7 linked regions of the Sus scrofa genome follow. The protein of the gene in region 6 purifies or fractionates together with the protein of the main gene of each other region. This does not show direct contact. Links are inferred from orthologs where the notes say so. Each region holds a gene or a part of one and is shown on either strand. Other genes may lie near its edges. The genes, in order: SERTAD4, CDCA4, MYO9A, ECSIT, PPP2CB, PPP2R2B and PPP2CA.

What was found.
Region 1: the proteins of PPP2R2B (region 6) and SERTAD4 purify together in Homo sapiens (co-immunoprecipitation; 3 studies listed by BioGRID and IntAct, with this or other methods). This does not show direct contact. The link is inferred for Sus scrofa from reciprocal best matches to the Homo sapiens genes PPP2R2B and SERTAD4.
Region 2: the proteins of PPP2R2B (region 6) and CDCA4 purify together in Homo sapiens (affinity purification with mass spectrometry; 4 studies listed by BioGRID and IntAct, with this or other methods). This does not show direct contact. The link is inferred for Sus scrofa from reciprocal best matches to the Homo sapiens genes PPP2R2B and CDCA4.
Region 3: the proteins of PPP2R2B (region 6) and MYO9A purify together in Homo sapiens (affinity purification with mass spectrometry; 4 studies listed by BioGRID and IntAct, with this or other methods). This does not show direct contact. The link is inferred for Sus scrofa from reciprocal best matches to the Homo sapiens genes PPP2R2B and MYO9A.
Region 4: the proteins of PPP2R2B (region 6) and ECSIT purify together in Homo sapiens (affinity purification with mass spectrometry; 3 studies listed by BioGRID and IntAct, with this or other methods). This does not show direct contact. The link is inferred for Sus scrofa from reciprocal best matches to the Homo sapiens genes PPP2R2B and ECSIT.
Region 5: the proteins of PPP2R2B (region 6) and PPP2CB purify together in Homo sapiens (affinity purification with mass spectrometry; 5 studies listed by BioGRID and IntAct, with this or other methods). This does not show direct contact. The link is inferred for Sus scrofa from reciprocal best matches to the Homo sapiens genes PPP2R2B and PPP2CB.
Region 7: the proteins of PPP2R2B (region 6) and PPP2CA purify together in Homo sapiens (affinity purification with mass spectrometry; 4 studies listed by BioGRID and IntAct, with this or other methods). This does not show direct contact. The link is inferred for Sus scrofa from reciprocal best matches to the Homo sapiens genes PPP2R2B and PPP2CA.

The regions. Positions count from the first base shown.
Region 1 is NC_010451.4:132,738,444-132,741,943, forward strand, and holds part of SERTAD4 (SERTA domain-containing protein 4), read right to left. Parts: intron 3,324-3,500; coding exon 3,208-3,323; intron 1,376-3,207; coding exon 617-1,375; 3' UTR 1-616.
Region 2 is NW_018084979.1:3,193,364-3,197,407, forward strand, and holds the start of CDCA4 (cell division cycle-associated protein 4), read right to left. Parts: upstream 2,801-4,044; 5' UTR 2,720-2,800; intron 2,718-2,719; exon of another isoform or gene 2,640-2,717; intron 2,529-2,639; exon of another isoform or gene 897-2,528; intron 1-896. UniProt on the Homo sapiens protein: May participate in the regulation of cell proliferation through the E2F/RB pathway. May be involved in molecular regulation of hematopoietic stem cells and progenitor cell lineage commitment and differentiation.
Region 3 is NC_010443.5:169,593,972-169,597,913, forward strand, and holds the start of MYO9A (unconventional myosin-IXa), read right to left. Parts: upstream 2,801-3,942; 5' UTR 2,735-2,800; exon of another isoform or gene 2,270-2,734; intron 1-2,269. UniProt on the Homo sapiens protein: Myosins are actin-based motor molecules with ATPase activity. Unconventional myosins serve in intracellular movements. Regulates Rho by stimulating it's GTPase activity in neurons.
Region 4 is NC_010444.4:70,167,963-70,172,145, forward strand, and holds the start of ECSIT (evolutionarily conserved signaling intermediate in Toll pathway, mitochondrial), read right to left. Parts: upstream 2,801-4,183; 5' UTR 2,651-2,800; intron 1-2,650.
Region 5 is NC_010457.5:54,294,356-54,298,585, reverse strand, and holds the start of PPP2CB (serine/threonine-protein phosphatase 2A catalytic subunit beta isoform), read right to left. Parts: upstream 2,801-4,230; 5' UTR 2,428-2,800; coding exon 2,326-2,427; intron 1-2,325.
Region 6 is NC_010444.4:147,937,574-147,940,699, forward strand, and holds the end of PPP2R2B (serine/threonine-protein phosphatase 2A 55 kDa regulatory subunit B beta isoform), read right to left. Parts: intron 1,234-3,126; coding exon 954-1,233; 3' UTR 501-953; downstream 1-500. UniProt on the Homo sapiens protein: The B regulatory subunit might modulate substrate selectivity and catalytic activity, and might also direct the localization of the catalytic enzyme to a particular subcellular compartment.
Region 7 is NC_010444.4:136,519,831-136,524,117, forward strand, and holds the start of PPP2CA (serine/threonine-protein phosphatase 2A catalytic subunit alpha isoform), read right to left. Parts: upstream 2,801-4,287; 5' UTR 2,623-2,800; coding exon 2,521-2,622; intron 1-2,520. UniProt on the Homo sapiens protein: Catalytic subunit of protein phosphatase 2A (PP2A), a serine/threonine phosphatase involved in the regulation of a wide variety of enzymes, signal transduction pathways, and cellular events.

The sequences.
Region 1 (3,500 bases), on a different chromosome or scaffold from region 6:
ACCACTCTCTACTCATATTGTTGACTGCTGCCCTAGACAGGTATGTTTCATTACGTTCTATCCTAATTTCATCTGTCACATAAGACTGTTAAATCCACACACTTAACAGTACCATGAAGCCATTTCATCTAGCTCCCTGTCTTCAGTCTTTTTTTTAGAAAAAAAAAAAAAAATACTGTATCATGTAGAAGAAGCAGACATCCTTTGCTGGTTATATCAATTTGCTTACCAAAGAACTACCTAATTAATTGGCAAAGATGTGGGGGGGTTCTTCGCCAGTGACAGGCTCCTTGGGGGTCGGGGGTAGTAGAAATATCACAAGGGCCACATTGTTCCCCCATCTAATCTACTAATCTTTTCTGTAAGAAAACTAAGATATACTTTTAAGCGTTAAGTCAACTGTTTTCTTGGTACTGTCACCACATTTATAAGTAGCGCGCTGATGCCTACGATACAGATGTTTCAGGCAATCTGCTCTCCAGGCATTAAAACGACACGGCATGTTCGTGGCATAATTTTATCAGTTGTACAAAACTATAAAATCCATTCAAAATAAAATTTCTGGGCGCTAATTGATCATGCTGCGCATGCGTCGGGATTGCGGTGAGAAGATGGCTCAAATTTTACTTCCTTTGCTGCAACACAGTTTGTTGCTCGGTGAAGGCTCCTTCTTCCTTATGGACTTTTTCCAAGACTCACTTACATTGTTTTTTTCATTATATCCAGTCTCAAAATAATCATAAAATTGGCCTTTGCACTCAAAAGCAAGGTCATGTCCCACGGGTTCATGGTTTAGGGGGCCGCCATCCCTGCTGGTGTCATCGTCTGCTTTCTCATCATTTAATTTGGCCTTTTCCTGAACACCAAGCGACCTGGCATTCGTAACAAAGATTTCATTGGCAGGTATCTGGCCATCGCCCTTGTAGAGAGGTGTGCTGCCTACATCAAAATCCACCTGGTGGGAGCAACTCGGTAAAGGCGGAGGGGGAGAGGGAGAGGAAGAGGAGGAAGAGGAGGAGGAGGAGGAGGCACTTCCGACGTTAGCATTGACAGACAGGGGTAAATTTAGGTAGTGACCACCACATTCTTGGTAAAAGCAGCAGGCATGAAACTTTTCACACTCCTCTTTGGCCATCCGAGGTCGTTTTCGGTAAGGACAGTCTTGAGCCATAAACCACTCCTGGGCGGAGGCGCCATTGAAAGAGCAGGCGGGAAAGCACCAGTTATTCTGCATGATAATCTCCCCATGGATTCTTTTCATCAAGTTGTTGATCAGGACCGATCGTCGGAGGTACACCTCAGGGTCATCGATAAACTTTAGCTTTTCTAAGGACATATAAAGGATGTGCGCGCGCTCCTCAAAGATCGAGATGGTCTACAAACCAAAACAGGAAGAGACAGCTTAGGAAACGGTCTATGTTCAAGTGGCATGGGGCCCATTTCCCTCCTGGCAGGTTCGGGGTCTGGGAAGGTTGTGGTTCCCCCCCAAGTTCGTTTAGAGATGCTATACCCCTTGTGTGGCTAATGAACACTCGTCCCAGGAGACTCGCTGGTGAGGTGAAGCCCTGGGGAATCCAGCCCCAGGGCAGACCTCAGCAGGGACCGGTCAGGATGCCTGGGCAGTGAGGGGGATGGCACCCAACTCATCTATGCTCTTAGAAGTCAGGAGGGTGGGTTCTTCGGTGGGCAGAGTGACCAGAAAGGGACATAAGGAGAGGTTATGAGTTGCTGGGTATGTCGCTTCTTTATCTGGATGCTAGTTACATGGCTTTTTCCCACTTGGTAAACGTATTAAGCTGGACTCCTTTGATACTCGTGCCTTGATGTGTGTGTATACAAATCACACCCACCCACACCTAGACGCATATGTTACATGTCGGTATTGTATATTGTATGTCTTTTTTTACAAGATGCCAAGATGTGGGTCATCACAAGTATACTTCAAACCCTGGCCATCAAGGACCGTGACATCTGGCTTTCAGCACTGTCCGTCTGTGTTTCACTCTTGCAATTACCTTTGCTTGACAGAGGGACAAAGATAACTAACGAGGCTCAAACCCTAAAAGGACCTGTCGGTTGAAGGGCAAAGGAGGCTCTTTCTGGAGTTGGGCAGAAGCGCTGCAGAGAAGGAATCAGAGGACTCACTCCTGAGCTGTGTGAATTCCATCACTGTGTGATGGTTCGTTCAAATCCAGCAGCAATTTGGAAGACTGTTCTGGCCACAACACAGAAACTAAAAAGGAAACAAACCGCTTGTGTCCTGGGGGCCAGCTCTTCCAGGTCATAAAAAAAGCCAACCCGAGGATCTGTGATTTAAACCAAAGGCAGGAACCACACATGCAGGGAAAAGCCCAGCACCTGCCAATGCATGCTGGTGTCTTTTGATGAGCAGAGTCAAACGCAGTATTTAAAAGGTGGGGGTGGGGAGAGGGAGTAAGAGGTGAGAGAGAGGAAGAAGAGTTAAAACCTTAAAAATCCTCTCTGCTTCTCAAACAACTACGGTCTGGCTTATCCTCTCCTCGATTAAATCAGCAGATAAGTTTTTGAAGAAAGATAACCACGAGGAAAAGGAACTGGTATTTCAAAAGCTCAGCTGGCCGGTTTCATACTTCTCTGCACTTTTCCAATCCTGTTGTTTGCTTCCTACAGATGCAAAAGAGTTGGCTTTGGTCTTTTCTGGGGATGAATGACACGTTTGAACACACTCAACACCAGTGATGAACGCACCCTGAAGAACAGGTTTCTACTTTCGTGCACACACTTCCCAGGGATGGTGAGGGCGACCTCGAGAGGTCAGGAGAAGCCCTGGACCCCCATGCGGGCACACACATGTGGCAACAGGCCTTGGAACTAGAGGTCAGAGAGGGAGAGCAGGCCAGGAGGGAACAAGTGCACTTCTGCACATGTAAAAGCACCAATCACCTTGACCCTTAAGGTAACCTGAGACAAATGCAATCACTTAGTGAAAAAGACGGTCCTTGGACTATGCAATTTTGTTATTTCTGGGTAGAGGCGCTCTCGCTGGCTCCTTCAAATACTTGTGCAAAATAACACCAGGCCCCAAAAAGTGACAACGAGATTAACGTGGCTCCGCGAGCAGGGGCTCATTTTCGTTGCTTGGGTGGGACAATTTAATTTCTGGAAATGGATCAATCGACTAAGTATCTTAAACTCTTAATAAAAGTAACGACTATTAAAAAAACATACTTTATGGCTACAGCTGCTGAGTGGTGGGTGAAAATCCTCTTCTTCCACATACTTCCTCTTAAAGTATGTGATCTTGGATGTTGTTATAGGATTTGAAATTCCCCTGTAATGGGATCCTGTGGTAATAAATCAGATATGACAAATGACATGTGGTTTGCCAGAGGTTCTCCAAACAAAATACGTTCCTTTCCTTTCCTTCTAGAAGATAACGTGGCCACGTATTTGTCTGTACATGTGGCGATTAAAAATAAACATTTGTCTTAATAGTTGCTATCATACGGAATCCTGTGACC
Region 2 (4,044 bases), on a different chromosome or scaffold from region 6:
CTGTTCCTGTGCCACACTGCGGACTGGTTCCTGAGGAAGGGTGCAGCCCACGGGCAGTGCTCACCCCAGAGCGGACCCCCAGGGGCTATGCTGGGGGGACTGGAGGAGGCTGAGCCCAGGAGGTGGCCTATGAGGATCCCCCCCGCAGACATCTGTACGTGGGACCAAGAACACGGCATGGTCGAAAGAGCCCCTGAGAGATGTTTTGGGGCAGACATGGGGACACAGAGCCCTTAGGCTGGGCTGTCCCAGCTCCCTGCCCAGCCTGGGACTGTGGCCTGAAGGCACCGAACCCTCCTAACACCCAGTGACAGACCCCAGACCCCGCTCCCCGCAGGCTGTCCTGACAGCAGTGCCTCACTGGCGGTCAAGTTCTGAACAAACAAAACAACAGGCCGCATCACCCGCCTGGCACCTCCGCGTCCGTCACAAGGTCTCACCTCGTGTCTGCTCCATGCCCCAGTCCCACTGAGCCTTCAGCGTGGGCCACTCGAAACCCTCCAATGTCAATGGACAGCTGGCCTGCAGGGTCTGCCCTGGGTGATGGCACAGCCCTGCCCCTCGCCTCCTCCAGAGCAAGCGCCGAGCGCACCGAGGGAAATGAAGGGGGGTGGCTGCACACTGCGGCGAGGGTCACAGGAGCAGCTCGGACCCCGTGTGGTTGCGGCCGGGCAGCCGCAGCTCTGATTTGGCCCCTAATCTGGGAAGCGGCCTATGCTGCAGCCCGAGGGCAGCCCGCCCAGAGCACCCCCGGCAAAGGGGACCCCAGTCACGCCCAGGCTGCTTATCCTGCAGCAGCTCCCACACCGTGTGGCCAGCCATCCCGAGAGCTGGTGGAAGATGCAGACTCCCAGGTCCAGAGCAGCAGGCTGGGAGGGCCAAGGCCAAACTCTCACCATGACCTTCAGCCACTGCCAAGCACTCTCCTGAGCTTCAGGTTAAGGCACATCAGCAAGAACATTCTCCGTTTCCGTCTCACGATCAGATCTGCTTTGAAATACTAGAGAAAAATGGGAGAAGATGGAGCAGGCGAGTCACTGCCTCCAAGTGGGCGCGGGGGTCACCCCTCCACTGTCCGTCTCGGTTCTTCTCATAAGCCAGCGCTAATCTTGACGTCCGGGACTTCTGGTGCTTGGGGTAAAATACAGACCTGGGAATGCGCTTAATAGCAAGTTGACGGAAACTCGAAGCCCTCTTTCCAAGATAAAACGTGCCACCGTTTGTAAAAACGCAAAAGGTCGTGACTGACTGCTTAGTCTGAAACTGCAATTATAAGACACAGCGTAACTTGAAAATAAAGAGCTACTGCACGTAGGGAGGTCACACAATAGGAAACGCAACCTTGTCACGGAGAGTACCTCTTCTGGCTGGTTTAACAGAACAGCTAACTCAGTCCTGCTGGCCCTGTGCACAGGCCCCGCGGGCCCCAGAAAAGGAAACAGCAAACTTCTCAGGAAGGGGAACCCTCTATTTGCCGGGACCACAGGTTCTCCAGGCAAACAGCTAGCTGGCAGACGCTTTTCCTGGTAATCCTGCTTTGGGGGCAATAAGCTTGCTGTGGCAGCGCGTGTCTGGTACTTTTCCTAGTTATCCGACCGAGGCCGGACCGGGCAGGCACAAGGAGCCCAGCGAAGAAGTTCCCTTAGCAGCGGGGTCCGGGGATCCGTCTCCTCCCACATCCTACGGCCCTCCCTGCTTCCTCTAGACGGCAGGGAACACACGCAGAGCGCCAGCTTCAGGCCACCCAAGGCTGGCATCATTTGCTCCCAGATACTCCCTGACCCGCTTAAAGAGGGGTACCGGGAGGAGGGAAACTATTGCGAAATATCCTTAGCAATCCTTTTCGAAGCAGCTGAAACCAAGACATAAGGAAAAGAACCTACACTCAACACGCACGGGCACGCAGCCAGCCACAGGGAGGCAGCCCTGCCCTCGGGCTTCCAGAGAAAGAGGCAACGGCCTGGAGGGCAACACAGTCCCAGCAAACCTCAGCTCTGCCAGAAGGACCCAATGGAAATCCCAGCCCTCCCTTGCTGATACCCCCCACCCACTCCTCATTCTGCAAGGAATGCACATTAGGAGGGAAACAGAAAACGGCGGATGGACGGGTGGGTGGGAGGAAAGAAGGGTGGACGGATGGAAGGAAGGAAGGAGGCCGGGAGGATGGATGGGGGTGACAGAGAGCGGCAGTCGGGGGCGCTCCGCTCAGGGCTTGTAACTCCAAGTCGGCCGGACAAGGAGCCAGGGTCCCTACAGGTCGTCTTGGTGGGGGCCGGGGCAGCCGCCGCTAAAGAAGCAGGAGGGCCTGCTCGGACTCCTTCCAAGTCAAAGGCAGGACGACGGCGCGGGGTGCCGCGCAGAGGCAGCCCGCAGACCCTTCTTAAGGGTCCCTCCTCCTCCTGAAAAAGCTCCAGTTTGGTTAAAGCCAAGGCGATACGACTTCTGAGACGCTGCGAGACGGCCCAAGTGGAGGCTGCGGCAGCAGCACAGGGAGTTCCAGGTGGCGGCTCGCGCGTCGGGCGGGCGGGCGGGCGGGCGGGGGGAGAGGTCGCGGCGGCCCTCCTCCCCCGGCCCTCCGGGTCCCACGCCTCGGGCCTTCCCCCAAGCACCCCCCAGGCGCCCCGGGCCGCTGCCCGTACCCTCCCCGAAGCCCCGAGACGGAGAAGCCGGGCCGTCCCGCCGGCGCACAAAGGCCCGCGGCCCCAGCGAAGACGCTCACCTGGCCGCACACCGTCCGCGCCGCCCGCGCCGCCGCGGAGGGAGGGGCCGCCGGGAGGGGCGGGGCCGCCGGAGGAGGAGCCGCCGGGGCGGGGCCGCGCAGCTTTGCCCACAAAGAGCCGCCGAGCAGGCCGCCCCGCCCGCTGATTGGCCGAGAGCCGGGGCGGGGCCTCCGGTTCAAACCGCGGGCGGGGCCTGGCGCGCGAGTTCCCGCGCGGCCGCGTTGGCCGTTGGGCCCGCGCCCTCGGCCGCCCCGCCCACCGGCTCCCAGGTCTCCTCGCGCGGCCCTAGTGCGCCTGCGCCGGGCACCCGGGGGCGGGGCGGGGAAGGCGGAAGAGGACGGATAGAGGCGGGGAAGAGGGCGAGGCGGGGGCGGGGGCGAAAGGGGAGAGGCAGCTGCGTGGCAGCCGCAGCTCCTTTGATAGTCCCTTAAATCGTAAAAGTCGAAAGCGGGGGAGGTTTCTTTGAAAAATAACTTCTTAGTGGACAGGTCTTAAATAGGATACAGAATCCCGACTCCGTCAATTCTGGCAGCTTTCTTGATTGCAGGCTGCAGTGATAACCCGTGCAGAGCCGGCGTTCTGCGGTGTCCCGTGATGCGGTGCTGTCAGGAAAGCACGGGGAGGTGGGGACCCCGCTCGCACAAGCCTCTAGGACAAGGGGCGTCTGAGGAACACCTCGAGGAGGCAGGGAAGCCTGGGGGCGGGGGCGGGGGGTCTGCGGGCGGGGAGCAGGCTGGGGGTGGGGGGCGGGAGGAGGCGGGGCGTGGGAACAGACTAGGTGGAAGCGGAAAGTCCAATTGGGTCACTGCAGGGCTGGGGCCGGAGACAGGGACCGTGATAGGCGACTTCCCCGCAAACAAGGTGGACGCCCAAAGGAAACTGGCTCCTCGCCACAGGCTGAACGCAAGGTTAAGTTCCTTCCTACACAGATAACCCGCCAGAGAGACAAGATCTACAAACCAGTGGAAAGTGGGAAGAGATGTTAACACAGAGCGAAGGAAATAAGATACTCTCAACTTGATCAAATTGCGAGTGGGAACGCAAACTAGAGCCAGCGCTAGCTTGATGTGGTTTTACGCTGTCGGACTGACCACGGTCCAGGATGCTCTGGAGCAAGATAATGTCTTCCAGAGCCTTCACTCTTATTTGCCCAAAATGTCCGGCATAAAATTAAAAAGTAACGGTCATCCCGGGACACAAGACCAAAAAGATGGTAGAAAAACATGGGGAAAAAACCAGAAAACAGAGATTGACTCATGGGTGAACACAGATGTTGGTGTTAGCAGGTTTTTAAAACAGCAGTTGTATTCCAGAAAATTAATGA
Region 3 (3,942 bases), on a different chromosome or scaffold from region 6:
CTAATCACTCCATGGAAGCTCAAAGGTTCAATGAGAAATTCAGTTTATCCTTTTTTGCAGGTTCACAAAAGAACCATCAGGAAATTTTTTTAAATCCTGAAAATTACTTAAAACTTATATATATATATATATATATATATATAAGTTTCCCTGGTAGATCAGCGGGTTAATGATCCAGCATTGTCACTGCTGTGGCTCGGGTCACTGCTGTGGCATGGGTTCAATCTCTGGCCGGGGAACTTCCGCCTGCCATGAGCATGCCAAATAAAATAATAAATAAATAATAAAAAAACACACACATAGCAGCTGATACATTTAAGAGAAAAGCATGCAGCAATGTTAATAAAACCAAAGACTGAAAATAACCTCAAGACTACCAAAATGATATACTATCCAGCCAGTAAATGAGGCACTTCCAAATGTACAACCGTTGAGTGATCTCTAGGATCTATTATTAAATGGGGGTGGGGGGAGAAGGGTAGGGGGAAGCTATATACATTCCATCTAGTACACAAGCATTTGTGGTGTTTTAAGAACATAAATACACGAGTTCCCTCGTGACCTAAGTAGGTTAAGGATCCAGCGTTGTCACTGCTACGGTACAGGTCACTGCTGTGGCACAGATTCAATCCCTGGCCCAGGAACTTTTGCCTGCTGCAGGTACAGCCAAAAAAATATATATATTTTTACACACACACACATAAGTGTGTAGACCTGTATGCTAGAAATATCGCAAGAACAACACACACAAAGATGGAAATAGTGGTTGTTTCTAAGGAGGGAAAATGGATGGTTGGAAGATACAGGGAAAAGAGAAACTTTTTACTACATACTCTTTTGAACCTTTTGATTTTTATACTATGTCTAATTATGACCTATAATTTTAATATGATTTTCTCCTTCCTCGGTTCCACATACAAAAAATAAAAAATTTTAAAGTACTGACTACAAAAACCTCTCTATACTTCATCCCTATACCAACGTTAAAATTATGCAGTGATCATCTGGTGTAAAATTACATTTCCTTCTTGACAGCTCAGGAGTTCAACAAACTATGTTTTACTGTTTAACTACTGCTAATAAGGCTGTTGATAATGACATTGGTGAACACTGCAATGATAACTGTACCTGCCTCTTGAAAAAGCAAGTCAGCAGCACCAGGTAGCAGAATTTTATTATTAAACTGACATCAAAATCTTCAGAAATTAAGGAAAACTACAAATCTTACTTTCCCAGCAAATTCTAAAACAGCAAATTCAAAAAAAAAAAAAAAGTATCTTGCTATCCTTCAAAAGCAGTGCAAAAGAGCTGTAAAAATCTACAAGAAGGTGAAACAAATGATACCACATGGAGACATTCATTACTGTTGTGTTAATTAACCCTTCCAGAAGTCCCTAAAATGTCAGATCTGTACTACCCCACACATTCTACAGAAGATGAGAAGCAGGCTGTGTGACCTTACAATAGCACACACCGCCTGCCCTGGGCTTCCATGATCTTCCATCTCCCTCTTTCTAAAGCCCGGAGACTAAACCTCCAAACATGAGTGTCAATTGGTCCCCTTAGCCCCGCTGGGGGGAAAACACTAGGCTAAGCAAAATGCCTTCAGGATTTCACGGCAAAGCCCTTTCAACCAAAGAAAGGATCACGACCTCGGAGAAAGATATTAAGGTCTGCCTAAGGAAAGGAGGTCTAGAAGAAGAGGCCGCTGCTGGTGTCTAAAGAGGAGCTGACACCAGATTTCTTGGGAAGTAAGAGCATCATGAAATAGACTATCTGAAAGACGAGTTGAGTAAGGGAAGAGCTTCAGCTAGGCGGTGAGCAGGTCCGCTAGGAAGAGGAGTGGGCAGCGATGGATCTGCCTTGGAGCTGGGGGTCGCAATGGGTTTAGAGGGCAAGCGTAAACGGATCTGAGGAACTGTGATTGGGTCAGCTCACAGGAGGATGCAACAGTCTCGAGGCCCCATTTAAGAGTACTACGAGAGTCCGAAGAGGGTTCTAGTGGGGTGTGATGGGGTGAGAGGCCCGAGACTAACACCAGGAGAGGTTGGAGCGCCGGAATGGTGCCTGGCCAAAGGAATACACGATGGGTGGGGTCCACTGGGTACCCGGGGCAGCGATCGGGTGTCAGGGAGGCTCCAGCGCAGACTAGCTCGCGGGGCGTCTCCGCTGGGGCGGGGCGGGGCGGCCCCGCAGGAGCCAAAGAGAGAGACCGAGACGTGGGCCGGGCTGGGCGGCAGGGCCGCTGGGCGGCTTGGGCGGGTCTTACCTCGGGCTCCGCCGCGGTGGCCACCGCAGCCCCCTCCTCTTCGGCGGAAGCCGCCTCCCAAACTCGGCCCCAGGGTCAGGCCGGAGGAGACAGCAGAGGCCAAGATCACCAAGGGTCGGACGGCTCCGGGAGGGTGGGCCCAGCTGCCTTAGGGTCCGGGCGAGCGGCCGCCGCGCATCCCCCGCCCTGTCAGAGAGACTCCGCCCGGCCTGGGCAGGCACATCCCCGGCCGCACCCGCCCTGAGACCACGCGTTCAGTCGCCGCCTCAACCGCTACTGCCGCCTCTGCGGGTGTCGCGGGTGCCTCCACCGCCGCCTCTCACCACCCTTGCTGTTCACTCAGCAGCCACAGTCAACCGCCACCACGTACCAGTCCGCTCGGGCCCGCGCGCCCCCGACCCCGCGCACGCGGCCCCGCCCCGCACGACTCCTCAGCTGCAGAAGAGCAAGCGCGCGCGCACTTACCTCCCACGCCCCCTACCGCCCTCGGGAGCCAGCCTGCTCGCCCGACTCCGCCCCCGCACGTGATGCCGCCAGCAAGTACAGCATGCGCTTGCGTGGACACGCCCCATTTCGTCCGCTTCAGGCGGCCCCGCCCAAACTTTTCTTCCTCACCTTACGGCAGAGTTGGGAACTCTGCCTTAGGTTTTATCTCTTCTAGAGAGGGATGTCGCAATGTTGGGCTAGAAAACTCTGGGTTTACGACTGCAGCTCTCGCTTTCCGGCCAATACCGAGGTGCCTGAAGGCTGGCTGGGGAGGTGAGGCCCGAGGCAGGTAAGAAGCCTCCTCCCCACTTCGGTTTGTCGGTCGGTGTGTCTGGGCAGGAGATCGTTTTGCCGCCCACGCAGTTCTAGCGTCTCCACACCCACTCCCCAATTCTGGCTCAAAATTCTTAGCGCCGCCTCCTTAGCGCCCCCCCCTCCCGCCCCCGTTTCCACACACACACGCCCTTTCCCCAGCATTTCCCCGCCCCGGACCTCCGTTTCCTAGTACTTCTTTCTTTTCATCCCTCAGACTTTTTACTGAGCACTTTCCGTGCATTAGACTCCAGAAAGTCAGAAGCAAATGAAATAGTCTCAAGTGTTTCGAAGTATGTTGGAGACGATGAGAGAATCCTCCGTGATAGTAAAGTAAAATTATAATAGAAAAAAAAAAAAAAGCACAAGGTATTCTTTGAGCGTAGAAGAGGGACCACCTGATTGTGTATGACTTGAGGAAACCCTCTGGGTCACTCTTAATTTGTGTTAGAAAGCTAATGAGCAGTAGCTGGTTAAAGCGGTATAAGAGATAGAAGCAGAGGGAATGATGGGTACAAAAATATTTTTGACAGTACTGGCGCTGAAATAAAAAGAGGAATAGAATACAGTTAGCGAAAACCACGTGGCGTAAGTTACTCACTCTTTGAGTAATAAAGAGTTATAAAGTAATGAGGTGAGGGACAAGCGTGTGGGCCAGAACAGTGTTTTCTTTTAAGGTGGTTATGAAGTGTACCATAACCAAGATGTGGACAGTTTATGAGTGAGAGTGGGTAATTTACAGAACCAGGAGCGGTAGTGGAATTAAATCTTGTATGCACATTAGAGTCACCTGGGATTCTTTTAAAAAGTAAAACCAGGCGTTCCCATTGTGGCTCAGCAGTAATAAACCCTACTGCCCTCCATGAGGATGCAGT
Region 4 (4,183 bases), about 78 Mb from region 6:
ATGCTGCGGGTGTGGCCCTAAAAAGACCAAAGAGACCAAAAAAGAAAAGTACATTACATTAATTGGTTTTCAAATATTAAACCAATATTGCATTTCTGGGATAAATTCCATTTGGTCATGATGTATATAATCTTTTTTTATGTTGCCAAAATTGGTTTGCTGGTATTCTGTTGAGGATTTTTGCAACCATATTGGTAAGGGATATTGGGATGTAGTTTTTGTTTCTTATTGTGTCTGTTTGGTTTGGTATCAGGGTAATGCTGGCCTCATAAAATAAGTTGGTACATACTTGGATCACTCATATCACCCTTTAAACTTTCTCTAGCATCTCCTTCCACCTCTGTTCCACATCTCTGCTCTATTTATAGTACAGCTTTTCCCAAGAGGGGTCTACATGTTACTTCTTCACTGTCTCCAGTTTGGCTCTTGTCCCAGCCACTCCACTGACACCACTCCTGTAAAGACCCCTTGCACGTTCTACATTTAACAAAGCCAGTGGTTATTTCTCTGGCCTCATTTTGCTCAGTTTCTCAGAAGTATCTGGAATGGGTGATGCCCTCCTCCCACCTTGGCACTCTTGATTTTCTTCCTAGCCCCCAGGCCTGTTTCTCAGCCAATCAGAAAGACTGGCTTCCTTCTCTAAAGTGTGCAGTGCTTGCAGACTTGAATGTGCAGATGAATTGCTGAGAATATTGTTAAAATGCAGGTTCTGATTCAGAATGTTTAGGGTGGAGCCAAAGACTTTTTTAATCTAACAAACTTCTATGTGATGCTTAATGCTGTCTTTTGAGTAATAATGCTGCAAAGAGTCCTACACTTTGAACTTGTCTGTCTGCTACCGTAAGGTATCATTCAGCTTCCAAGAGAGGTGTTCTCTCTGTATTTCTGTAGGCAGCTCTCATAGTTCTCAAACCTTGTTCATTTCAGCATTATCTAGGAAGCTTTAAAGAATCACATGCCCAGGCCATACCCCAGATATATTGTATCAGAATATCTAGAGGTAGGGCCCAGGCATCAGCATTTAAAGCACTCCAATGACTCTAACATCCAGCTGAGATTAGACCTTAATCTAAACCTTTGCTATTCAGGGAGCAGCTGTATTGGCATCATTATTTGGATGCAGAATCTCAGCCCTAACCCTGACCTATTGAAGCAGAATCTGCATTTAAACAAAAGTCCACATTTCTCTTATGTGTGTTAAAGTCTGAGAAATGAAGATCTATGTGCTGATAGTTCCCAATGGTTATCACCATCCCTGAGCTCCAGCTTCCATACCTAACTGCCACTTTGGTGTATACCTAGCCATCTCAAACTTATTTTGCGCCTAACTTATGCCCCTGCTTAAACTTGTTCCATCTCATCCTTGCCTGATGTCATTACACCATCATTCCTAGTCAATCAACCACAAACCTGGTTCTGAGTCCACTGTGTTCCTCACTTCCCCAACCAATTCATCAGCTGCTCATGTTGCTACATCCAGATCCACCTCAAACAATCCCATTTCTCTCCATCTGCAAGCCACAACTCCAGTCCATGACCTCTCTTCATCTACCCACACTCCTTTCCTTACCTGCCTCCAGCCAGTTCTCCCTAAAGTGGTCATAGGGAGCTTTTTTAAAATGTAAACTAAAGTGTTCTCCGGCTAAAGTCACTAATTGCACATCACATGAGATAAAAATCAGACAGGCTCCATCCCTCCAAACTCAACTGTTATTACTGGAAGCTCCAGCTACACCATTTATTTCTCTTTTAAATTTTATTTAATTTTTATTTATTTTTGGCTGCAGTGTGCAGCAGCTTGTTGTGGGATCTCAGTTCCCAGATCAGGGGTTGAACTCAGGCTGCAGAGGTGAAAGCTCTGAATCCTAACCACTAGACCAACAGGGAACTCTCCCATTACGCTGTTTCTTAAACAAGCTGACTTTATCTAGTCTCAGAGCCTCTGAGGTTGCTTTTCCCTGTTTGGAAATTCCTTCCCCAGGTCAGTTCATTGCTGTGCCTGGTTATTCAGGTCTATATTCAAATGAGACGCCTTCCCTGACTACTGCCCCATTCCCAATCTAAAGCCCCATCATCCTGATGAATGAATTTTTAGCAATTAGCATCTGAAGTCACGTTTCATTTACTTCTGATTTGTTCAACGTCTAGCTCTCCTGAGACCAGAGATTTTTGTCTGTCTTCCTTTTTGCTGTCTCTTTTGCACCTGGGATAGTGCCTGCTATATAGTAGGTACCCAACAAATATCAAATGAATAAGAAGAGCTAAATTTCTACAAAGCTTCTATAAATCTGAACCCCTAGGCAGGGTGTACCTACAGCAGCTCTGAGGCTGGCTGCTAGGATTTTGACGCCCTTGGGAGAAAGAAGCGAACTTTAGCCTAGCTGCCAACCTGTGGCGTGACCTTGGGAGACGGCTTTAACTTTTCTGAGCCTCAGCTGTCTCATCTCCAAGATTAGAGATTAGGGATGTGGGGAGGCGGGTACACAGAAGGCAGCTCTCCTCGGAACGTCCCGCCGTGTACCCGAAAAGGTCACGGTGCCCTGGCCCCGGCAGCCGGGATCCTCCTGGGGCCGCCCTTCCGCGCTGCTGGCCCCAAAGGGGCTGCCCCAGGGCTCATAAATTCACGCTTGCCTCCCCGCGTGGGACCTACCTATTCACGCGGACGGCCGCGGAATCCGGGCCGGTTATGTCTTGCCCCTGGGCGCCGCCATGTTGCACGAAGATCTTCTGGGTCACGGGCCACCAGGGAGCCGGCAAATCAACAGCGCCAGTTTAAGAGAGGTCCCGCCTCGAAGAAAGGAGCACCAATAAAAAGGCGCAGCGACCTTGGCCCCGCCTCGTGGTGAGTCAGGCCCCTCCCCTAACGAGGCAAGCTGGACTCCCCACGAATGAGCGAGCTTGGTTCGGGAAGGAGAGACTGTGCGGTTTCGGAGCTGGGACATTGGACTCAGGCAGCGGGTGAACTCAACTGACAGTCCTAGTGCCCACCTGAAATACGGGAATGAAATATTAAAGGTCTAAGTAATGTGGATTCCCTCATTTTTTCAACGAACATTTGAAGGCTTACTGTGTGCCAGGCGCTGATTCGGCGCTGACGTTAGGGAAGAAGAAGGACTGCTAATCTAGCTCCTGGAGTCTGGACTAGTGCTTAACCTGTCTGTGCCTCAATAGTCTCACCTCTGAAATGGCCAATTATAATAACCTCGTAGAGGTTTTTTGTTTTTTGTTTTGTTTGTTTTTTGGGCTTTGTTTTATGGAATAATGGAGTTAATCTATGCAGAACAGCCATGTAAGCGTTTGCTACTGTTATTATGGGGGATTCACACTAATACCTTATTCCACCTCCCTCGCTTGGACGGTTGAGGATCCTGTAGGGTAGTGTGCATGTTCACAATTGTGTGTGTGTGCGTATGTGTGTGTGAGATTGCGATAGAGTGTGGATGTTTTCATGGGTTTTCGTAGTTTCTCAGAACTCAAACAAAGGTGTGTACGTTTGTGTGTGGCTGTATGAGGGTAGGTCAGGGATAGTCCCCACGTGTGTCAGTGTGGACATTGGTACATGTGGGACTTTGTGTGTCCACGTGTCAGTAGCTGCATGTGCACTTGTGATTGTATCAGCTTCTGGGTGTCTGTCATTCTGTGTGTGTGGAAGGATGTGGAATTTGTCCCAGAATTCTGAGGGGCTGGGATTAGGTGTGTCAACATTTCTTTGATGGTCCATGCAATAATGTGTGTGTGATTGCATGTCTGAACACTAGTGGGTAGATGACTGTGTTTATGACACCCCATGTGTCCCCAACTTGTGGATAAATGATTGTCCCACCATCAAGACACATGTGACTGTTATAGCCCTTTACATATCTGTGTGTGATTGTGTCTACCAGTGTGTGCCTGTACCTATATGAATCTCTGACTTCGTGTGTGTGTGTGTGTGTGTGTGTGTGTGTGTGTGTGTGTGTGAAACTCTGTGTCTCAGCGGTGGTATAAAGGTCTGACTGACAATGCCAATCTGGGGTGGTCTCTGATGTGGGATTCCATTATGTAGTTGTGTCCAGCTGTTGGTATGTGTTTGTAACACTGTGTGTCCCTGACTTGTATGGGTGTGACTCGTATGGGTGCCCCTCCACCATCGGTATGTCAGTGACAGTATATGACAATGTGTGTTTATGACTGTGCCTCAACA
Region 5 (4,230 bases), on a different chromosome or scaffold from region 6:
AATTTTCACTTAAAAATTCATGCTTAGTGGGCAAGTACAAATATTCAAAGAAAAAAAGTAAGACATAAGGTTAGATATATCTCAAAGGTCCTAGGGATTGGTAGTTCAATTCAGGAGCTAAAGTTAAAATAATCTCTCTGGACAAACACAGAAAGCTTCCTCAAGTGATTAGGATTCAAGTGTGGTTGAGGGGTAGAATATTCTTCTCCAGAAGACATCTTAAATTTATTAGAGAATTAAAGGGAAAAACTGATTCAACTGCCAACTTTGTCCATAACTTCAAGTCTTTATCTACTGTTCACAGTGAGGTGAACTGACTCAGCTAATTTCAGAACTGAATGTTTCACCTGACACTGGAGCCTAAGAGAGCGTGAATTAAAATGTAAATTCTAAGACATGAAATTACAGGTTATCACACAAGAAAACTGAATGTGGAACTTGAAGTGGTAAGTAAACAGCCTGTTTCAGGGAAACAAAAATACCATTTGCTTGGCAGTTCTATTTACAGAAATACACTCCTGTGTTAACAAATAGTTATTTAACAGACTCACAGATACAGAAAACAAACTTATAGTTACTAAAGAGGATAGCGGGGGAAGGGGGTGAAGAGGTAAGTTAGGAGTTTGGGATGAGCACACAAACACACGACTATATATAAAACAGGTAAAAACAAAAATGTGCTGTACAGCTCAGGGAACTTTATTCAATATTTTTGTAATAGCCTATAATGGAAAAAAAATCTGAAAAAGAATACACATATATGTGTGTAACTGAGTGACTGCTGTATACCTGAAACTAACACAACATTGTAAATTAACTATACCTCAATTCTAAAAAGTTACATATGTATGTAGACCCTAAGCAACAATACATGTAACTAAAAACACTATTCTTGGGAGTTCCCACAATGGTGCAGTGGGTTAAGAATCTGACAGCAGCAGCTCAGGTCTTTGCAGAGGTCCAGGTTTGATCTCTGGCCCACTCAATGTGTTAAAGGATTTAACTCCACAGCTACAGTTTAGATTTAACCCCTGGCCCAGGGAACTTCTATATGCTTGGATGCGGCCATAAAAAGGAAAACAACAACAACAAAACAGCTATTACTCCTCCATTCCTAAGATGCTTAATTTTAAGGGTGTGCTATAAACAACATTGACAAAATCTTTCCTTCTTCAATGCTTTTCGGAGGCATCCCGGCTTACAAACACAATGATCAAGAAAGTCTTATGGGTCATGGCTTAAAAATACAAACCAATCAAAAGCATTAAAGAATAAATAACTTTGTTACTCCTTCATATGAACCTTTTTACATAAAAATGTATTAATATTATTTAGGCCAAAAAAAAGGTGGAATGAGAAAAATAAACTGTAAAATCTGAAATAATTCGAGGTTAAGAAAACAACGAATATAGGACTCAGAAAGTGGCCTAAAATCACACAATCAACAGCGACTGTAAACAGTTAATTGCCTGCATATTTTACTACTTTTTGGAAAAAAACAACTTAAATATGTAATAGAAATAACTTTCTGAAAAGTGTTACCCTGCACGTAAAACACGTACCCATTGATCATTTCATGCAAGCAGTGTTGCCAAACTTAAGACTAGCCGTCCTGTTTCTGAAAATCAACATTTTTGCTTCCAGAGAGCTTCTCAATTGAAGAAGACCAGTCACCATCTGTCTCAACCAAAGTCAACTTCTATTTTAAAAATCACAGTCCGCCATCACACCCACCTCTCTATAAACAAATGCTTGATACATTTCAACTCGATGATTTCTGAAGGACCGAGTCACCTGAGAAAACGGCTACGTTTATTATATCAAGGGCCTTGAGATTCACAACGTCCAGGTTCATTTTCAACTACGAGATTGCCTAGATTACCCTGCCAGCCAGCTAAAGCGCGGATTGCTAGTCCGCACGGAAATACTGGAGTGTCAGCAAAACCCAGAAAACAGTCGGCGCCCCAATCACTCCAGGAGTGGATTCCGGGTGCCACGTTGCCCCCGCCCACCTACCCCGGACCCCTTAGGCCAGGACTGGGAGCTTCCAACCCCAGCCGGGTGCTGGGTCTCCAGGGGGTCCAGGAACAGCCCGGCTCCTCCCGGGGGAGGCTGCCCGAGTGGGAGACGCAGCCCCGCAGGTCCCAGACGGACGCGCCGGACAAGGGACAAGCAGGCCAGGAGAAGAGGTGGGGGGGAGGGGGGGAGGAGAAAGGGGGAGGGGAAGGAGGGGGGAGGGGAGAGGAGGGAGAGGGGAGAGGATAGGTCCCAGCCCCCACCCAGCCTGTCGCACGCCGGCCGCATCTCGCCAATTTTCTCTCTTACCTTTTCGCATAGGGTCCGCACTTGGTTCTCATTAAGCTGTTTACACTCGTTCAGCTGCTCGACCCACTGGTCCAGCTCCTTGGTGAACGCCTTGTCGTCCATGGCGACCCGAGCCCCTCCCCCGCCGTCTCCCGCCCCCCTCCCCGCCCGCCCTCGCCCCTCGCGCCGCTCCCCTCGCCCGCCGCCGCCAGCTCCCAGTGGGAGAGGAAGGAGTGGGGGAGCGCGGCCCCGGACCCCGCGCCCCGCCCGAGCCCCGCGGGCGGCTCCTGGCGCGCGGCCTTCGGGAGACCCCCGCCCGCCCTGGCCCGCCGGGCCGCGCGCCCTGGGCGTCACTGGAGGGCGCGGGGAGGTGCGGGACTTCCGCGCAGCTCCCGCCGGATTATGGCCACTTGCCGCCGCCGCCGCCTCCCGCCCGCCCGCTGCTCTGGATTCCCTTGCCCCTTCTCTCTCGCTCTTTCTTTCCCCTCCCTCTGGGTTTCCGTCATCGCCCGGGCATTTCCGCCGGGAAAAGGTTAGCAGGCGGTGCCGCCGGAGCCCGGGACTCGAGGAGGGGTACAGCGCCCCCGTGTGGCTCGGCGGAGAAACGGTCCCTTTCCCTTCCATCTTGCACTTTATCGACCAAGCTCTCCCAGTTCTTTCTTTACATAATTTTACGCAAGTCTGTACCCACTATAGTTTCCTGCAGTGCTTTTTTCCCCCTTTTTTTCTTCTTTTTATTTTAGCGTTCTGTAGAGGGGATTGGAAAGCTTGTCCCCCTCCTTGACAACATTGTCTCCTCAGAATCTATCACTCTCCCATAGCAGGTGGTCAACATTTGTTGAGAAAAAAAATAAATTCTTTCTAGTCTTACCTCTGTTATGAACTAGCTGTGAGGCACTGACATCTCGAATCCCCCCTTTCAGCATCAGAAAGATGAGATGACAGCTCTGTGTTTTACCAATCAGTGTCCCAGCTCCCTCATCCTCCACGGAGTTGACTGCAGTGTTTACTGAATTCTCATGATTTGTTCATGCAACAGATACTTAATGAGCAACTGCTAACTGCCAGATCTCTTGAACAGCTAATGCTTACCAAGTTGACTTCCTATATTATAGTTGCAGATTATTGCCACTGAACCCAAATGGGAGGCAGCCTCTTGTATCTGAAGGCAAGAACTCCCTCCAGCTCCCTCTTGGCATTGCTAGCCTCCCAGCCAGGTCCTTGGACAATCACCAAAGCTCCCCCAGCCTCAAGTTCATCATCTGTTAAAAGGGGGCAATAAGCCCTTTTCAGGTTATCATGATTAAATTCTACAAGTGCTTATCCAACAGTAGAGTTTGGGAGCCATGTTCCTCTGTTTCTTGCCTTATCCCTCCTAGGCAATAGCTACAGAAAACTTTAGAAGGGTGGCATTTTTTTTCTTTTCCTTTTGCAGTGGTTTGCTGCGGGGTCTCAGTTCTCAGACCAGAGACTAAACCCCAGCAGCATCAGCGAAAGGGCCGAGTCTTAACCACTGGACCACTAGGGAAACCCTGAGAGAGGTGGCATTTCAACTGAATTTTGAACCTTCTCCCTAAGCAACACTTTGGAGTTCCCTGGAAAAGAGGAAAGGAGTTCTCAGGATTTTGGGTTTTTTTTTTGGAAAGTGGCGGAGAACAAATGTGTGCAAGACCATGGTCTCTTTGGAAAGCTACAAATACTCCTAATAACCGAAATAGGTCCTATGGTGGAAAATAAGGCTGGAAGAGCTCCTGTTCTCAAGTGTCTTGTAAACAGCAGCAAACCAACTGCAAGACAGAACATGAAAAGGTGGTAAAACAATACGTACAGAATAGGAGGGGTATCTGTAAGATTGCAATAGATTTGCAGTCTCTGAGGAGGCTAGTCTACAAAGGTTGAAAGGAGGCTGTTTCAGCTACACCTGGT
Region 6 (3,126 bases):
GGTGCCACTACTACATTTAGGAGGCCGGAGTATAAACAACCGGGACGCGGCCTTCAAGCGTCAATGGAATAAATAGTCTGGAAAAGGTTGACGGGAAAAGGCCAAGGCACATGTCAGTAGAGGATTCTATGGAGCCATTGAAAATGACAAAAAAGCAAGAGTAACAAAGCTGCAGATGGACTCTGCCCCCGCCCCGCCGTGGCCTCGCCAAGCTAAGTCTGAGACGCTCTGGGTAGAAAGCATTCTCTTTAAGTCCCCTGAAGCATCACGGTGTTGCCCAGCCAAATTCTCAGCCTGTTTCTATGGCGCTTACAAAAAAGGGTAGAGTGGCATCCATGTGGCCCTTCCCTTCGCATTCTGTGTCCCCTTCGAAGCCTCGTGAAAGAAGTCCCTGGCTCACAGGAAACTGTTAAGAAGAAAATGGGGGGGGGGAAATAAAAGGGCTTTAGGGGCAGAAGATGCTGACTGGTGCTGACTTTTCACAAAAAGAGGAGAATTTCTCTTAGAGTAAACGGTGTTTTATTTTTTCGTTGAATTTTTTTCAATCAAGTGGAATTGCTTAATTAAAAAAAAAACTTATCTCTTTTCTCTTTAAATACTACAGACAACCTCATTTTTTATCTCAGCAGACACCTATAAACAAAACACGGGACCCACCAGAGAAAAACGGGGCAATAAAAGCATCAGAAATTCAAGTCAACTATGGAAGAATTACGGTTAGCTGGCAGCTCTCAATTCTAAACAGGAAGGAGTGTCCCAGAACCTACTGGGTTTGACAAAAAGTTTCTTAGAACTGAGGATTTGGGAAAGTCGGAATCCAATGAGTTCTATTCCAGTTGTTTCCTGTGTAGGGAAATGAATGTCGCTGCATCAAACGAACACCCAAAGAAACATTTAAAAAGTGTTTTGACTAGTATTCAGTGTGTGAGATTATTAAGTACTAACGCGTCCTTCTAGTTGACCTTGTCCTGGAATATATAGAGGTTGTTTGTAGCCGCCACTGCTATGATATTTTCTGAGGGGTGCCAAGCTGTATGCAAGATCTTTTTGCTAAAGTCCAGGCTGTCGACACTGATCTCGTCCTTCCTCCGCTTGCCCCCCACGCACACCTTGCGTGGCTTTAGGATCGCCCGGGGTTTACTGTTTTCCCTTGAGGCCTCAAGGGTGACATCACGCTTGGTGTTTCGGTCAAACATCCTGAAGAAGTTGTTGTAGGAGCCCGTCATGATGACACTGCAAGGCAGAGAGGGAAAAGGGGACCTGAGTGCCACAGACAAAGCCTTTCAGGGACAAACGACAGCCTGCGGAGGCCAGCTTTTGGCAACCGGACCTTCTCCTAAAGACAGACCCGAAACCCCAGACCTCCACAGGCTCTGCAGTGTGACTGCTGAGCTTCTTGGGGACCGCTAAGAGCAACGAGCTCTTCGGCGAGGTTTGCAAACAAAGGATTGTGATACCCCTCCTTGCTGCTGATCGATGGATGCCTTTTGGCTCTTGGGCTCCATCAATGAGTCCTGTGGACTTAATGATCCCAGGCCCCCTCCCTCACGTCAGGATTCTGAGGCTGGAGTGAAGTTGTGGGCATAGGGATGCAGCAGTATACAGCCATCATATTGTGCATATTTAAAGGCTGGATGTGGGGAGGGAGTGGGATTCTGTGCTGCCTGACTGCTAAGGCTTTCTTGCATCAGCACTGAGGGAGAGATGCCGACAGTGCAGCAGTGCACCCGCGTGTGTTCTCCCCCTGCCAGGAGCGAGCTCCAAATTCAGCCTCTCCCGAACACTTACCTAAGAAGTGGATGCTGTCGTGGTCTCCCTTGGGAAGGGAGCAAACAGAAAGTCACATTTTGAAAGGCTGAAAGATGAGGACATAGGATCGGGGTGCATTGACAGATGATTTCTGCATTTCTATACGAGTTATCCGTACTTAGGCGTATCTCTAACCGGTTAAGAGAGCAGTGAATGCCAAAAGCCTTCCAGAAGCCACCAGCTGACACTTTAACGGTGCCGGTGTGGACAAGGTGACAGGCTGAGGGAAAGATAAGGCCCCTCAAGCAGCATCCCGAGGCGGCACCTCCCAGAGAGGCTGGCTCGGCCTCATTTGTGGGTGGGGCTCTGAGTGGCGGATGAGGACGGGAGCGCCGAGCACCTCACCCTGGGCTGGATGAAGATGCAGGGAAACCGACAGGACTGGGCTCCAGCCAGGGGGCTAAGCTTGTGGGCACTTGGTTGGCTGTGCAGGTGAATTAACTCAGAATTAGGTTTTGTTCCCCTGGCGCAGGAAACCTGTGCTGTGATACCGTGTGTCTCTGTCATAGAGCAAGCTGTTGTGGCCTCATCAGGCAGGGTGCTGACTGCTTTCCTGCCAGTCTCGTTTCCTCTTCCATCACCCATCAAAGGGGTTTACACAGGAGGAAGAGCCGACACTCGTGCAGTGTCATACAGCTTAGCAATGCCCACGTCGGGCTTCCAGCTCACACCTGCTGGACTCCAGGGCACAAGCATTCAGCCACTTGGCCTCACTGCTACCCACAAGCGGAACGGTGCATCCCACACCACAACTCCCATGGGTTTTTTTCCTTTTTAGGGACACACCCATGGCATATGGAAGTTCCCAGGCTAGGGACCCAATCAGAGCTACAGCTGCCGGCCTGCACCACAGCCACACAACTCGGGATCTGAGCCGTGTCTGCAACCCACACCATAGCTCAAAGCAACGCTGGATCCCCAACTCACTGAGCGAGGCCAGGGATTGAACCCGCATCCTCACGGATACTAGTCAGATTTGTTGCTGCTGCGCCACAATGGGAGCTCCCCAATTAGTTTTTAAACAGCAAGAGAAAGACTCTTTTGGGAAAAAAATCTCAACCACAACTACAGTGCAAGTAATATTTTCTGAGTTACGGAAAGACACTGTAATGTTATGGAAAGAATGTTGCTTTTTAGGTTTTTGTTTTGCTTTTTTGTTTTTTAGGGCCGTACCTGTGGCATATGGAGGTTCCCAAAAAACACCACATGTGTGAAGGTGCCTACTAAGTATAGTTTTGGAATCTCGGTTAAGATGGAAGGGAAACTGGAACAATAACAACTGCTTAAGAAAAAATCTATTAACAGTAACCCGTGAAT
Region 7 (4,287 bases), about 11 Mb from region 6:
AATGAAAAAAGGTTTTCCACTCAAGATTTTCAAAATATACAGGTTTTGCCAGTTGTGCTATTGGCCACACAAATATTAATAGTGAAAAGAGAACTTTTGTTTCACTAGAAAGACTTACTATACCTAAAAAACTGCCTTCAAGTTAATTTATTTTGGAAGGTTAATACAGTTCCCAAAGACGGAATACTTACAAATTAAAAACAGTATGAAGGCTATGTGACAACCTCCAAAAGGACCCATGTCTTGAAAATCTAGCATCAAAGATATATATATATATATATATATGCTCCAAGAATTAAAATCTTTATACAGTGGATGAGCAATGGGGATTTAAACATAAACTGATTAATCTCACTCCATCTTGATATTACAGAGACATAGCAAACAATATTTACCAAGGGGATCAAGCTTCAGTCCCCCCACCATAATTCCAATATCTTCTGCTGTCTCCAACACAGACCCTTTACTTCTGTGGTCTATCTACTACAGACTTCCAACCAGATTCAAGATCCTTAAAAATAAGCATGATTATTTTTCATTGCTTTTCACTCCTCTCATAAAAGTAAGCAATCTTGGATATCCAATAAGTGTTCAATATTTAAATACAGAGTACTATTTTAAAATGCAATTGTATAATCTCAAATGATTAGAAGGAACCCTGGAACATGTTTTAACTCTATAGACAAGAAAATGTGGACCAAGTGAAGTGATTGCCTCAAGGTCACAATTACTTGGTGGCAGAAAAAGGACCAGTGTCCAGGTCTAACTCACAGTCCAGTGGTCTTCCAACCACATCATTACTCTGTTGCAATGTTTGCTACACAAATAACTAGTCATCTAGCCAACTGCTGACTCAAAGTCTTTATATAGAGTTAAGTACTCAACTCTAAAAATCTTTAAAATCATCACTTACAGTATCCAAAAACTAAGACCTAACACTATACATTAAACAATTTTTAAAAGCCCACTTCCAAAACTTTAAACAAATGTCATTTTCATCTGATGTAAAAGAATTAAGGATCAAGAAGCAACAAAAGGCTCTACATTGCCAGTATTAAAATTCAGCTCCAAGAGATGATGTGCCACCTCATCAACTAGAAGTTTTGTTGAGGCTTGGGATAAACAAATCTGAATTAGACTTACTTAAATTGCAGTAATTCACAGAAGAGTTTCTGAAAAAGCCTGTTTTAGGAGCGTATATGTCAAATTTACGAATCTAATTTTCACATCAAACCACAAACGAGTCAGCGTAATTGCTTTCTAATAACTCTCTTCACTAATACAAAATGTTGATGATACTCCACCATTCTGTGGAACTAAAGATGCTGCAGAGTTATTTTTAAAAAGAGAAGTTGAAACATTCATGGTGGAGATCAGCATTTTCTCTACTTTAGAAAACTGAATTATAAGACTTAAACAGGCTACCTGTTTCCCCAACTCCTTGGGAAAAACAAATCAGAATTAGGTCATTTAAAATGGACTTCTAAAACAGACTACAACATTCCATTTTAAACGTTTGTGGGATTTAAACACTAAACACAATGACTGGAATACAGCAAAAGCTCGATCAACAGCTGTTAATATCATACTTACTACTTAAAGTCACAAATATACTAACAACTTTTCCAGCAGAGAGCAAGGATACAAAATCTGCTGGTCTTAACAGTTTATGCTGCTCATTTAAAAAACAAATGGCAAAATGCCAAGAACCTTAAGCTTAAAGAAGGGTTTCATACTATCCAATTTGAGTCAGCATATAAATCAGAGATTAAACTGACACTTGATTTCCAATCCCAAAGCTCCTATGTAGAATGACTCACCAAAATGTCTAATTCTTCCAACTATGAAAAATAAGTTATACTCCTCCCTATAACTACCACCATGACCTTCATTGAAACTTAGATTAAAAGCTCATTTAAAAATTCTCGAAAAAATGTACTAATAAGTCTCTGGAAAACACAGCTCGAGAGGTTTACCATAAACCACTCAAGACGATGCTAAATCTGCGTGACCTTTATTAGATAGGTCCCGGGATCCGGCCTACAAGCTTGCCTCTGGGGGACCCTCTGGACAGCTCTGGACCTAAGCATTCGGCCTGAGTACAAGTAAGAAACCTCCCACCAAACTCACAGAAGAGTCCCAGGCCCCATTCCCAGGCCGTAGAACCTAAGACCTCGTGCCCAGATATCAAAACCGTCCCTGACCCTTACTCGCAGGGTCTCCGCTCCCCCGCACCCTCCCCCAGCCACTTCGCTTCCAGCCAAGGCCGGGAAGCTCTGAAGCCCCGGAGTCGGGTGAACGGCGCCATTTTAGGCGGCGGTGGCAGCGACAACCAATCCCTGCGCGGGAGGCAGGGGGCGCCGGGTCGTCCGGGAGCCGCCGCCGGGCCGCGCCGGGGGCCGGTCTGGGAGGCTCGGGGGCCGGGGCCGCTGGCCTCCGCCATGTTGCACCCTCCCCGCGGCCGCTTCCTTCTCGGCGGGCTCGGCCCGCCCCGGCTCCCGAAGCCGGAGTGCAGCTCACCTTCTCGCAGAGGCTCTTGACCTGGGACTCGGACAGCTGCTTGCACTCATTCAGCTGCTCGATCCACTGGTCCAGCTCCTTAGTGAACACCTTCTCGTCCATGATGCCACCCGCCCGAACCGGCTGCCGCTCCGCGCTACTCCCGCGCCGCCGCCCGCACACGGGCCACACGCACACGCTGCCGTCGGCCCCCGGGGTACTTGTGTGGCTGCTGAAGGCTGCTCGGCAGTAGCGCTGCCCGGTTGACTCGCCCCTCGGTGTTCGGCTACCGGCCACTGACCTCCTCCGCTCGCTCTAGCCTTGGAGCTCGGCTCTGTAATGGCGGCCGCCGGCGTGGTGACGTCACGCCCGGCGTCAGGAGGTGGCGGGGTGAGGAGGGGTAGAAGCGCCGGGATACGAGCTGCGCAACTGCCGGGCCGGCTCTCATCTGCGGCCAGACCCGAGCGGGGGCGGGAACTAGGGGCCAGGGCGCAGGCGCGTAAAGTAGCCGGCTGGAAACAGGCACCTTCGCTTTTAGGGCGCGGTCCTGTAGAAGGGAGGGGCCGAGGGGGAAGGGAAGACCGAGTCCAAGCAGGGGCCTTGCTTATAGCTGGGAAGTGGGCTAATCTTAGAGCACTAAATCCTGCAGGGTGTAGTTGCGGACCAGGCGCAGGCGCAGCCGGGGTGCGAGGGTGGCTCCTTGTTGCCGGAGACTTTTTCCCTGAGGTGATACGCCTCGGCTCCTCACCTGGCGACTGCCAAAGCACGGAAACGAGAATTGGGCCCCGTGGCTCCTCCATTCTACAACAGCACTGGAATTGCTGCATCTTGGGAGCAGGAACAGGCGCCGAGTGGTAGCCAGGTTGGAGTAGCCACCCCTGCCTCCGGGTGCGGCCAGCACCTTGTAATTAGGTCAGTCGTAGGCGGAAGAGGGTGTACCTGCAGTACTGCGCAGTGCACCTGACTCCCCAACACACCTGTCCCCGGGCCTCGATGTCTCTTCTAGCGCCATGGCTGGGGCCTCCTAGCGCTCCTGGCTTCCACAGGCGCCGCTGCAGTCTTGCCATTGTGGCCTTCCCCCCTAGGTGGGCGCTTTCCTCCGACTCCGAGCCTCCAAGGGAAGAAGAAAACGCCCCCGACCCCACCCCCACCAACCGTCTGCCCACTCAGGCCTTCTTTCTAGAGGGAAGACCGCAAGGAGATGGACGCACCGGTCCTGATTGAGACCCGGTAGTGTTAGAAGCGGCTGTGATGTGCGCTTTAAAGAAAGCTCAGATACCCTAGGATCGGACCTCTGGCTATAAATCTCTTCGAGATTCGTGAAATGTATCCGCATTCCGTTGTCCTTGCATTCGCAGAAATATTTGGCTCCGTACACCGCCAGTTATGTTCAAGATTCATGCCCGAAGGACAGAAGGGTCATACAAACAGAGGTACCCTACCCTGACGGAGCTTGTGTACTTCCTGGGATGATCTGGGGATAGACAGGCAGAAGAGCCCTTCACAAAAGCAGGAAGATGAATGGCCAGTAACACAAGGGTAGTAAGCAGGGAAATGAAAACCACAGATTCCAGGTTTGACTCTCACCCATTTGGCAAAAACTGTCAACATCCAATGTTGGTGAGGATGTGGAGCAATGGGGTCTCTTATACACTGCTGTACTTTGGGACAACCACTTTGGAAAATCTGGCATTATCTAGTTAAGGTGTAGATGGGCACAACCCATGCCCAGCTCTTCTTCTCCTTGTTGTTTTCCCTAGAGAAAGTTTTGCACATGGACTTCAGGAG